3 linked regions of the Tribolium castaneum genome follow. Each later gene encodes a partner of the first gene's protein in a complex. Links are inferred from orthologs where the notes say so. Each region holds a gene or a part of one and is shown in the gene's direction. Other genes may lie near its edges.

What was found.
Region 2: the proteins of TBC1D23 (region 1) and Syx16 are in contact, whole or in part, in a crystal structure (PDB 8QQF), measured with the Homo sapiens proteins. The link is inferred for Tribolium castaneum from reciprocal best matches to the Homo sapiens genes TBC1D23 and STX16. Residues at the interface, in NP_001186127.1 of Homo sapiens: Leu638, Asn639, Ser640, Val641, Val642, Lys643, Ile644, Thr645, Ser646, Lys647, Lys648, Ser661, Ser662, Ala663, Ile666, Thr683, Lys687, Ile690, Met691; in NP_001001433.1 of Homo sapiens: Asp209, Asp210, Asn211, Thr212, Leu213, Tyr214, His215, Arg216, Phe218, Thr219, Glu220.
Region 3: the proteins of TBC1D23 (region 1) and protein FAM91A1 are in contact, whole or in part, in a crystal structure (PDB 8JJ9), measured with the Homo sapiens proteins. The link is inferred for Tribolium castaneum from reciprocal best matches to the Homo sapiens genes TBC1D23 and FAM91A1. Residues at the interface, in NP_001186127.1 of Homo sapiens: Arg533, His534, Val535, Ser536, Ser537, Asp539, Val541, Gly542, Lys543, Pro544, Tyr545, Arg546, Val548, Pro550, Val551, Phe552; in NP_659400.3 of Homo sapiens: Arg49, Glu60, Arg61, Tyr64, Asp84, Ile85, Lys88, Gly89, Leu90, Arg91, Ile92, Thr93, Phe95, Ser96, Ile159, Pro161, Tyr176, Ile177, Thr178, Glu179, Asp181, Ile182, Lys190, Asp194, Ile197, Asp198, Tyr216, Asn217, Lys218, Gly219.

The regions. Positions count from the first base shown.
Region 1 is NC_087402.1:71,385-75,703, forward strand, and holds TBC1D23 (TBC1 domain family member 23), read left to right. Parts: upstream 1-1,482; 5' UTR 1,483-1,612; coding exon 1,613-1,641; intron 1,642-1,734; coding exon of another isoform or gene 1,735-1,751; coding exon 1,752-1,860; intron 1,861-1,917; coding exon 1,918-3,789; 3' UTR 3,790-3,905; downstream 3,906-4,319. Other genes in the region: CCT4 (T-complex protein 1 subunit delta), read right to left, coding at 3,997-4,014. UniProt on the Homo sapiens protein: Putative Rab GTPase-activating protein which plays a role in vesicular trafficking. Involved in endosome-to-Golgi trafficking.
Region 2 is NC_087396.1:11,855,583-11,858,593, forward strand, and holds Syx16 (syntaxin-16), read left to right. Parts: upstream 1-1,353; 5' UTR 1,354-1,407; coding exon 1,408-1,488; intron 1,489-1,534; coding exon 1,535-1,838; intron 1,839-1,884; coding exon 1,885-2,435; 3' UTR 2,436-2,502; downstream 2,503-3,011. Other genes in the region: XK-related protein 6, read right to left, coding at 69-224, 272-872; vih (ubiquitin-conjugating enzyme E2 C), read right to left, coding at 2,625-3,011. UniProt on the Homo sapiens protein: SNARE involved in vesicular transport from the late endosomes to the trans-Golgi network.
Region 3 is NC_087400.1:99,420-103,836, forward strand, and holds the start of protein FAM91A1, read left to right. Parts: upstream 1-1,522; 5' UTR 1,523-1,590; coding exon 1,591-1,662; intron 1,663-1,706; coding exon 1,707-1,791; intron 1,792-1,841; coding exon 1,842-2,051; intron 2,052-2,105; coding exon 2,106-2,290; intron 2,291-2,339; coding exon 2,340-2,440; intron 2,441-2,487; coding exon 2,488-2,802; intron 2,803-2,854; coding exon 2,855-3,008; intron 3,009-3,118; coding exon 3,119-3,390; intron 3,391-3,438; coding exon 3,439-3,602; intron 3,603-3,648; coding exon 3,649-4,349; intron 4,350-4,391; coding exon 4,392-4,417. Other genes in the region: Nle (notchless), read right to left, coding at 1-1,287. UniProt on the Homo sapiens protein: As component of the WDR11 complex acts together with TBC1D23 to facilitate the golgin-mediated capture of vesicles generated using AP-1.

The DNA.
Region 1 (4,319 bases):
ATACTTACCTTCAAAGAGGTGAAAAAAAAATTTTTTTTAAACTCACTCCAGTAAATTTTTATGGACTTCTACATGTCTTAACAACCCAAAAAAGTTGTTTTTAGTCCACAAAAAGTCCATATGTTCGATTTTTAGAAGTTTGATTTTTCAATTTTCGTCGCAGTTTTTGTCGATTTTGGGTACCCGGAACTTTTGTCAAGCAATAGCTCCGGAACTATCAGAGATAACCCCATGAAGTGTATTATCGTTGGAAAGCTCTTTAAATTATCTATCTTTTTCAAAAAAAAATATTGTTCTCCGACTAATAGTTTTCGAGCAAATTGGAGACAAATGCAAAAATTGGGAAAATTTTTAAAAATTCATAACTAAAAAACCATTGGGAATTTGGCAATTTTCTCGATGCCAATCGATTCCCCGGATCATTTTGCATAGGATTTTACGTTCTCCAACTTTGTTTTAAAAAAAAAAGAAAATTGCAGATAAAAGCAAAATTAGACTCAAGAATTTGAGTATGACATGATGTGGAGACAACCTCCACATCTTCCACCTTGAAAACATATTCTAACATCTGTCTTTGGTGCTCTACTCTGCATGTCGAGTCACATGCCACTGCAATTTTTGGAATTCCAAATTCTTTTACTCTATCCTTCAGCTTCAGGAGAGCATCGTATGTTCTCGGAAATGAACCAGTTGCCTTCTCCATCTCTTCAGCAGCTATTACAAACATATAGCTAGCTATCTTCTGGAGTTTCGCTCACTGCGTTGAGTCCCAGCGCAACTGTTGGCTTAATGGTTACTACCATGGCATTTATAGGGTTCTCTCCTTTTAGCACATTTTGTCTGTACCGTGGGCACCGCTGACTAAGTAATCGCAGCAGTGCCCCCTCCTCTTTTTGCTCCCTCGATCTAATAATCACCGGAGCAACTTCCTCTACTTGTGCAAAGGGGCTAATTGCCATTACCTTTACTTTCTCGTAGTGAGAATCTTCCCACTTACAGTCCATCAGGGTTCTAAAATCGCTGAATATCCTTGTCTTCTTTCGAAGAGGTCCGGAAGGAGACTCAGATAAATCTGTCGGAGTGGCGGCTTGTAATCCTGAAGTCACCATTTCCATAGCCCCAAAACACTTTGTTTATATTTTTATTGATTTATCTCCGTTCATCTTCTCATTGTTTTATTTTTGGCGGTCCTTTTAAATAAAACACAAATACAACATAACGTTTATTCAAGAAATCCTTTTAATTAACATATTGTTTGGAAAATATGCTACCCATATTTCTAATACCAAACAAATATTGAATCCAAAATTTTTGTAACACTGTAAAGAAAGAAAGGAATTATGTGTTAAACTAAATAAAGGGCTAAAAAACCCCACCAAAACTTTCAATTTTTGCTCCATGTCACTACAAAAAAAATCAAATGCGCTTTTGCAAAATTCTAAGAACTGCTGAAATGGGATATAAATTTTAAAATATCCGCCATACTTAAAACTTTCTGGTACCCATGGCTGCCAATCCCTCTTATCATCTGCTGTTTTGAATGTCACTTTTTGACACGTTGATGTGGTATTTTCCTCTTTTTCGTCGCTTATTTTTTCTTTAATATGTGAAAATGGCAAGTGTTGATGACGACAACGGATGGTAAGTTTTCAAGCATAATAAAGTTGCCTCAATTTTTTGTTGTTGTAAAACGAAACCAAGTCTCGCCTGTGCAGTGTCATTTATTTACTTTAGTTATTATTTTATTATAGGGTGGCTGATTTAGAAAGCGCTTTACTGGAAGAATGTTCAGTTGCTGATATTTACTGTATTTGCAAAGGCAAACCTTTACCTGACAATTTACGAGCTGAAGTCTGGCAGGTTAGCAACATACCAATCATTTTGCTCGTCATAAATAATGTGTCGTATTTTTTTTAGATATGTCTCGACGTAAGAGACAAGGGGAACCAACTCGATCACTTTAACGAAATCTATGATTTGCCTAATCAATCTGTGCTACGAGAAGACTGTCGAAATTTCGTTTCAAAACTCGGCAATGACGAAGAGGATAAATTATCCGTTGTATCCGATTTAGAATCGATTTTAACATTTTATTGCAAAAGTCGCAACTTGACTTATATTAAAAACAACGGCTGGATTGAGCTTCTGCTCCCTTTGCTAACACTGAAAGTGAATCGTTCAACCACTTACAACCTGTTTGAGGCAATTAGAGACACTTACGTGCCTCAAAATTGTCACACAAATGACGGCAACGCTTTCCATATTTTGCGTCTTTTATTGCTCTATCACGATCCAGAATTGTGTTCATTTCTTGACACTAAACGTATCACACCTGATAAATATTGTCTGACATGGTTCCAGTCACTTTTCGCAGCCACTTGTAATTTACAAGTCGTCATAAACATGTGGGACTATTATTTTCAACAGTCTGACCCGTTTTTCATTTTTTTCCTCTCGTTAATCATGGTAATAAACGCACGCGAGCAAATCATTTCAATGAAAAGCGAATCTCGAGATGTAATTATTTCGAATTTGACGAACATGCCGTGTGCTCTTGAGGCTGAAGACGTTGGTGATTTTTGTTCCTTGGCCCAATATTATGCCCTTAAAACACCCGTTAGTTTTCGGACCGATTTAATGCAAAACTTGTATAATGGCACAAATGATGCTGTAGTCTCTCAAGCGTTATGTCTCCCAGTTTCCGTAAGCGAACTAGTTGAAAATACGTCCAATGAGAGTGGAAATATAGACGCTGTAAGATTTTTCCTAGTTGATTGTCGACCTGTGGAACAGTACAATGCCGGTCATTTACCTACAGCTTTTCACTTGGACTGTAACTTAATGCTTCAAGAACCAAGTGCTTTTAATACTGCTGTTCAAGGCTTACTTTCGGCGCAAAAACAAGCTCTGGCACATAATTCTACAGCAGGTGGTGAACATTTGTGTTTTTTGGGATCAGGTCGTAACGAAGAAGATCAATACACTCATATGGTTGTGGCTTCTTTCCTACAGAAGCACACTCAATACGTTTCACTTCTAACAGGAGGTTATTGTGCTCTTCATCATTACTTTTCGGATGATTTAGAGTTTTTACAAGATCATAATCCCAAACTTTGCATTGTGTGTGGCCCAATGCAACAACAACAACAACAACAGCAAGGTCAAGTCAAGGGACAATCGACCGATTTGTTTGGGAAAATTTCAGCAGCAATGAAATCGAAATCGGCCGAAGTTAAAGAAAAACTTATCGATTATATCGTTAATCCCAACAATAGTCCCGTGCAAGAGAGACATGTTAGCAGTAGCGACAAAATCGGGAAAAGGTACCGAAATGTGGCACCTGTTTTTAGTATAGATGATGATCATGAAAATGCTACCACCAATAACATGGAAGATGCAACTAATGAAGAATGTCGCGAATTGGTACAAATACAATCATGGTTGAAACATCCCGAAGTTATTGAACATTTTCCGTGTCAGGAGGTGAAAATCAATGGTTTTATGTACAAAAGTCACTTGATTGTGACTAACAGTGAGCTTATAGTACTTAGAGAAATGCCCGATAGGAAAGGTGGCATTGCTGAAGTTATTGTAAAACGCCCCCTGTCGGCGATTGTTAAAATAACAGCGAGGAAACGTCATCCTGAACTTATCACTTTCAAGTATGGCGTGCCAGATGGTGAGAATTTAATTATATCTGACATGGATCGATTTCTTATACCCAATGCCGATAAAGCTACAAAAGTTGTATCTGAACAGATTTTAAAGCAGTTGAAGAATAAGGAGTAATTTGGAAATTTAAATAGAGTTACACATATTTATTGTTACTGTAGATATTTTATTATAGGAAAAAAAACTTTAACCATTTGTTTATTCTTATCTAAATAAAACAATGCTTAAACGAATCCACAATATTGTTATTTTTGTAATAATACTAATTTTGTTACAAATGATCGTACTTAACAAAAAAATTAAATGAAGCAATTTAGAAAAGATCTATGTCATCGTGTTCACCTGGAAAAGACAAAACATTGTTTAAAATTTTGTACTTATGGTAGGTAGGACTATACTGGGCACATTATCCAGTTAAAAAAAAATAAACAAAATAGCCTTTTTTACAATTAACAGATTCGTTTCATTTTACCGGTGGTCAAGTAACAAGTTTTATATTTTTTTATTTATTAAAGCCCTCAACTTCGTTTCGGTCTTCAATATTAAAACTTCACGCTATAAAATTATTATACAATTATTATTACTTTTCTTTAAAATCTTATTTCAAATTTTGCGTCAGTATAGTTCAACCTTAAAAAAAACAACTT
Region 2 (3,011 bases), on another chromosome or scaffold:
AATTCCAAACAATTAAAACTCGAATAATTCTCGAATCGTCTCCCAGTGAAAGTAATGTATAAATTTACCTGTGACTAGGAAGTGCCACATGAAATGGACTAGTGTCCCTGGCCATGAGATGTTGTTTTTGTTTTTGAGAGAGACACGTAACAGTCTCTGATAAGAGGCCATTGACCACGCCATACTAACAAACGAACTACCAATTGATAACAATTGATGGACCACTAGAAACGAGTGATTGTTTTATCATTTGTGCAAATTATCAACTTACAGGTAAAAGTATCACTGTTGTCTAAGCTGTCCTGATCGTTGCTATTTGTACTGAAAATAATTGCGAGTTGTAAGATTTGTTGGGGGGCCGCTTCAAGGAAGCACTCAAGGACCCTCAACAGGGCGACATCCGAGTCTTCTTTGACCATAAGTTCGTAGTACTTCCGCTGATTCTCCTGGTCCTTGTTCTTTTCGGCTTTCTTTGATTTGATGGCGTATTGCAAGGCATCAAAGTATCGCAAGACTGGCGCTAATTGAAATATCAACACAGCGAAACAGCATAATCTCCTTTTGGTAAATTTATCAGTCAGAGTTGCGCTCCTATCACTATCTTTATCTAGCATGTACATCCTGATACTGAAGACAGTATTTACAAAGGCTGGGACGAGTATGAACCCCAGAGTGGTGAAGAAATAGGCGAATTGTTGGTGGACGTAATATCGGTAGGCAATGTTACAGTCGAAAATCACGTCCAGAATGTGGCTTATTATAGATATGACAAAGCCAGCAATGTCCCAGTTGGTCACTCGGTCCACTGAGGGCAGTTGGTCCACTACGTCGGTCGTGGGGGAGTACATCTTCGTTTGATAAATTATTGTCATTATTCACGATTGAATAACTCTTCTTCGAGGCATTGAACATCACACTGGTGGTTGAGCTACTTGTTCATTGGAAAGCTAATATTGACTGAGGTTATCACTGTGAAAATATTAGATTTTTGGCATACGTACCAATTAGCCAAATTTTATAATCCATTGTTTGGACGCAGATGAATCATCACGTTGTCCTTTAACCCCTCATTCTTGAATAACATGCGAAAAATTGAAAACCAAACGTCAAACCATTTTTCTAGCCATTAGGGAATTTATCCCCTGACGTAATTTTTCTAACGTCAGTACACAATCGCAATTAAATTTATCTAATTACGCACGTGTTACACAACCACACACTGACCCTCCACCTGAGTCGTATCGCAACATTGCTTCGAAATTCCCTCTTAATTTATTTATTTACCCATTGTTATAAACAGCGTGATATAACCTCACAAACGTAACAGATGTGATTTGACAGGTGGTGATAACTTATCACACCGCAAAATATGTTTTTATCCTAATCGGTGGTTTTGCAAACGATTCGATGGCGTCCCGAAGTCTGACTGATGTTTTTTTACTGATGCGGAATAATGCGGTCCGCAGCCGCCACATATACCCCGACCAGGTAATTAGCACGGTTAAACACACCGACTTTTGAGCAAAATGTGCAGGACAATTCGGAGCGGATGCACCTGGTGTCCCTCAACGACATGGAGGAGGGCCTGGGGGACCGCAACGACAACAGGATGCCCCCCATGTGGATCGACTATTTGGAGAAGGCACAAATGATTTTGCCCAAACTCAAAGCTAAGATTAACGAACTGAAAATGCTGCATTCGCGCCTCCTGAACAGGCCTACTTTCGACGAAAGCCCCACCGACGAAATCGCCATAGAGAATTGCACGCAAGAAATAACGCGGATGTTCAACGAAACGCACAGATTAGTGCAGATTATTAAAAGCCACTCTTCCGAAGGTGATAATTTGATTAGTGCGTCGTGTGTTTGAGTTTGTTATTTCAGGGCCAATGAAAGAACAAAGATTGACGATCAATGTTTATCACTCGCTGGCAAGTGCGCTCCAGGAATTGTCCACAATGTTTAGGTCAACACAGAATAATTATTTGAGGCAAATTCAGTCGCGGGAAGACCGCGCAAAAATCTACTTTGATAACCAACTCGAAGACGAGGATTTGTACAACAGGGAGGCGGATGACATTGATACCTACTTCGTTAATTCCAAGCAGATGAGCCAGCAACAACTGCTGTTGCTGGAGGAGGAAAACACGCGGTTCGCGCAAGAGCGGGAGCAAGAAGTGAACGCAATTGTTAAGTCCATTGTTGACTTGAACGAAATTTTCAAAGATCTCAGTCAGATGGTCGCCGACCAGGGGACAGTTCTGGACAGAATTGACTACAACGTGGAACAGACGCAGATCCAGGTCTACGAAGGCTTCAAACAGCTGCAAAAGGCAGACGCTTATCAGCGGAAAAACCGCAAGATGTGCGCGATCCTTGTATTGGCTGTAACCACAATTATTTTATTTTTTACCTTGATTATCGTGAAATCCTAGTCGTGATAACGTATTTTTATTCGCTAAGCCAAATATTTATTTATGTAAATAAATTATTGAAACTTGATCGTTTTATTCAATCATAACACACGAGAAATAGTAAAAATTATATAACACAAATATGTACGCAGTCTATTATTACACAATGACATCTTAAATAACTGAAATTTTTCTAATGCGAGATCAAATTTAGACTTCCTTGTACGACTCTAACACCAGCTTTTTGTACTCTTCTTTTTTCTTCCACTTGTCGGCGGCCGTCGTGTTCAGCGGACTCCTCGTGTTTGGTTCCCCTAACAAGGCCTGAATTGATAACAAAATTGTTCTAACGTCATAAAGCGCCGACCACTTCTCTTTTAAAATATCTAAGCAGATGTTCCCACTGGTGTCGACGTTGGGGTGAAAGCAAGGCGTGATGAATTTTACTACGGGGGCCGCGTAGGGGTACGAGTTCGGGAATTGTAAACTTAGTTTATATTTTAAACTCTCATAAACCGTGTCTTTGGGCCCCATTATGGTACCTACCCACTTGAACAGGTTGTCGCCCTCGGGAAACGCCGAGATGCTCTTGTCTTC
Region 3 (4,417 bases), on another chromosome or scaffold:
CCTCAAATTCCACAATTTGAGTGTTGAATCGGCACTTCCACTCACTAAAAGTCTAGAATCGGCCGAAAACGAAATCACATAAACAGCCTGTACGTGCCCCCTTAACGTACAAATAAATTTACCACTTTTGGCCTCCCATAATTTAATACTCTTATCAAACGAAGCCGAGGCAAAAATGCGACCATCTGGTGAAAATTTCACATCGTTAACTAATTGTTGGTGCCCCGTGAGCCGATTTAACGGCTTCTTGTCTTTTGAGGGGGCCCACAAAAACAAAGTGAAATCATCGGAGCCCGAGACGAGTCTTTCATCACCGATAGGGTTAACGATTTCGTTGTAACGACGCAGGACGAAGTCTTGTGATTGGATTTGGGTGTCTTTGACTGGGTCAAACGCCCCCAATTTGAGGATATAATCAGTGTTGAGGGCCAAAGTGTTGACCCAATGACCGTGCCCTTCTAACGTACGACACAACACACCGTCTTTAGCCCTCCAAACTTTAACAGTCCGGTCCTGCGAAGCCGTATAAAGGAGCCCCAGACCGCCCCACTTGACCACAGTCACACTTTTCAAATGCCCAGAAATAACCCTAGTACAAGAACACAGGACCGTATCCCAAATCCTGACGTCACAATCTTTACTCGCCGAGGCTAGAAAGCGACACTCGGCGTTTTGGTGGTAGGGTTCCCAACTCAGGGCCGTGACCCATGATTTATGCCCAATTAGAGTTTTACCAATCTGGGCCCCATTTTCGGGGTTCCATACCACCACCTTGCCGTCTTTACACGCCGAAGCTAGTTTACGCCCATTGGGGGCCCACGCAATGCACAACACCCAGTTCGTGTGCCCTTTACATGTCTTAAAAGGTGTCTGGGTGTCCACGTCCCAGAACCGAACGGTTGTATCGCCAGAACCACTCGCTAGGTGTCTACCATCGGGGGAAAAACTCACGGAAATGACAGCTTCGGCATGGCCTGGCATTGAACTTGTACATCTTGTCACGGGACGCACTCGGAACACGGCTTGTTGCTGGTAGAGGATGTCGATGACGGTTTCGGTGTTCAAGTCCGACAAGTTTAAGGTTTTTTCGAGCGAATGTGTGATTTCGGTGTCGTTGGCGTAAAAAATGTACGAATTTGTGGTTTCGAGGAGAGCATTGCAAATTTCAGTCAACTGGGACACAGTACAAGACAAGGGCAAGTCGATGATGTCGCCGGTGATTTCGCCTGAATCGGACTTGAAGCGACACAGGACGTGTTTTTGGGACAATTCGCCCCCCAATTCCATGATTATTAGCACTTTTTACAAACTGGTCCAACCCCACTTTTTGCACATGCCAGTGTCAAAAAGTGTGTGGTTAGAGACACTTGTTGGTAGCCCTGCCAGCTCACACTTTTTCTTGATTAAACAACGCAAAAAAATTAATTAAGCAGCATTACATTAATTTATTTAAAAAAAAAACACGCTTTCTTGCCCAATTCATGCCAAAATCGCGTAAAAACAGCAAAACTGTGCAATTGTGACACCTGTCATTACTGACTGTCACTTGTCAAATGGGTTTATCAACAACAAATTAACCCATTTACCAGCATGAATGCCGAAATCGAGGAAAATATCCGTAAAAACGTGCCATGGTCTCAACTCCCCGCACATATCAAACAGGTAGTTTGGTTTTTAGTTGCGACAAATGACCCCCCGTTTTCCAGATTTTAAACAATTCGGTCAAAGACTACGAACGCTACGTGGTCTCGTTCAGTATTAAAAACCAGTTGCGCTATCGCGGAAATTTAGGTGAGTGTCTTTGGGGTGTGTGTGAGCCCCCTTGATTGTCTTTGTTCCAGTACGACACATCGTCCGAGATGAGAAACGTTACTACGAACGTGTGGTGGCTTACAGTAAAGAGAGACTCATGTTATTCCCCTACCACTTGGCCGATATGATTGTCAAAGGTTTGCGGATAACGCCGTTCAATTACTACATTTCAGTGGTTGAGAAATTGATGCAAGCTGAGAAAAGTTACGATACTCTTCCGAACTTTACGGCAGCAGATTGTACTTCCCGCGAATTTATTTTGGGGCGTGTTTCCCTCATTTGGTGTTTTTCAGGTTTGAGGTTATTGGGGATTGGCAGAAATGAATACATCGAATTGATGAATAAGTCGAGGTCGAATAGAGGGCGCTTGTTTGGGAAAAAAAATGTAAGGGGGCTCCTACCACCCGTCCCCAAAGACATACACATTGAGCCGTGGTGGAGGGTCGAAGTTGGCCTTGTATTGGAAGAAGACGTCAAAGTTTGTCACTTTTAATAATTACACATTCAGTAATTTAATTTTTTTACAGTTGGTGAATGAGGAAGAGTTGGCGGTGATTGACCGTTTAATTGATTTGGGGTCACAAACTGCGGGCGAATTAAACTATCATGTTGTTTTGAGTCTTTACAAGTAATTCCCCCTTTACGTAAAACAATGTCACCAACTGTTAATTCCAGGAAAGGTTTGATTTATTTGGACGTTCCTATAACCGCAGTTGATTGTATACAAGTGCCGCCTTTGCAAGGTTTTGTAATGAATCGTGTCCTTGGTGATTATTTTGAAACACTGTTGTATAAAATATTCGTGTCAATTGACGAACATACGACAGTTGGCGAACTTGCCGGGGTTTTACAGGTGGATACTGAGTCGGTAAAACAGGCAGTTTCACTCTATTGTCGCTTACAATTTGCACGAAAATTGCATCCCGAAACTGACAAAGAACGTGTCAAAAGACACCCAACGTGGCATTTAATACCAACACAAGAAATTAGGTACTTATTTTTCACTAAATTGCAAATGATTCTATGATTGTATGATTTGAAGAAACGTTGAAGTGACACCACTGACCTTGAGTCTCAGTGATAATCTCCAAGAGCAACCCGAAAGTCCTTCGACCTTGACCCGAAAGGGGCATCGAGTGGCTTTTCTCTTCGATTCGGCCTTGACTGCTTTCCTAATGATGGGAAATTTATCACCGGTAGGTAAAGTTTTCACTGTCAAAAGAGACACTCTCACCAACCGTTACGTCAAAAAACTACAAAAACCGGATTAAATAAAACTAAATTTGAGGTAGGTTGTGACTTTTAGGGCTTAAAAAAACACGCCGTGACCATGTTTGAAGTTGGTAAATTGTGCGACGAAAGTCTTGATAGTTTTTTAACCGAACTTGAGAAAGTATCAGTTCTTGATGCTGAAGGTGAAGGTGAAGCGCGACGTTTCTTCGATCATGCTGTCATTCTCAGATCCACGATTTTGGCTTTGAGAAAACTCCCCGGCTCTGGTTTGGATTTGGTACGACTTGAAAGTCTCCATTCATTAGACGAGGCTACTTGTAGCCGACTTTTACAGAAAAAATACAAGTAATTTTTTCGTGGTATTTCGTACATATTTTAGGGATTTTTTTCCAGTTTGTTGGTATCAATGGCACCGTTAAGCCGGGAAGTACGGCCAGTTGTGAGTCTAAATCCGCCTCATTTAGGGCCAGCAGTCCCCGAAGTGAATTCGTTGTGGTTTAAAATGTTTTTGTATCACGTGAGCGGTTATGGACCGCCATCTTTGTTACTAACCAAAGGTGAGGGGGATTTTTTTGTTTCTGGTAACACTATTTTTGTCCCTAGGAACTGAAATCAAGCAACTTCCGCGTATGTTCCTCGGGTATTCCCGGCTTTTGGTAACCACGTGGTTACACGAACCGGCGGTTATAACCGTTTCGAATATTTTACATGTGAATGCGGCTGCGCAATTTTCCCCCGTATTGATTCAGGCTTTTGGGGTTCATGAACCGGCTCAGACTCACATAATTCCGTTTCCCTTTCGTCCCGACACACCTTCCAAAAGTTTAGGGGAAGTCCCTCAAGACTTACAATTCCGGAATCATCCCTCAGTTAAATATCTCTCGAATTTAATTGACCTTGAACACAATTGTGGTTACATCACGTTTGCCAACATTGGAGTATTAGATTTCGGCTGTCAAAATAAAGAAATGACAGTCAAACTTGGCAAAAAACAACCAATCGCGTCCACCAAAGGCAAGGCCGAGCCTTTATCAATCACCAATGAGAATTTTAGTTTCACTAAAGAGTTGAGTTCACCCGACGAATCACATTTTGCCATAACTCCGCCCACTTCGTCATCACCAGCCAATGGTTTCACAAGTAAGGAATGTTCGGAACTCCTACGTCAAGAATTGGACGAATTAGAACAAAAGATGAAACACAGCGTTTCAATTGATGGTCTTCTATCACCAATCGACGAAAACATCAACATGTTTTCGCTAAAAAGCGAAGAAATGAAAAAACCCGACGAAAATCGAGGCGAGGTTGGTATTTTTTTTATGTGTTGTTGGCTAACGTGTGAATAGGTTTGGACTTTGTTAGATTGCCATTT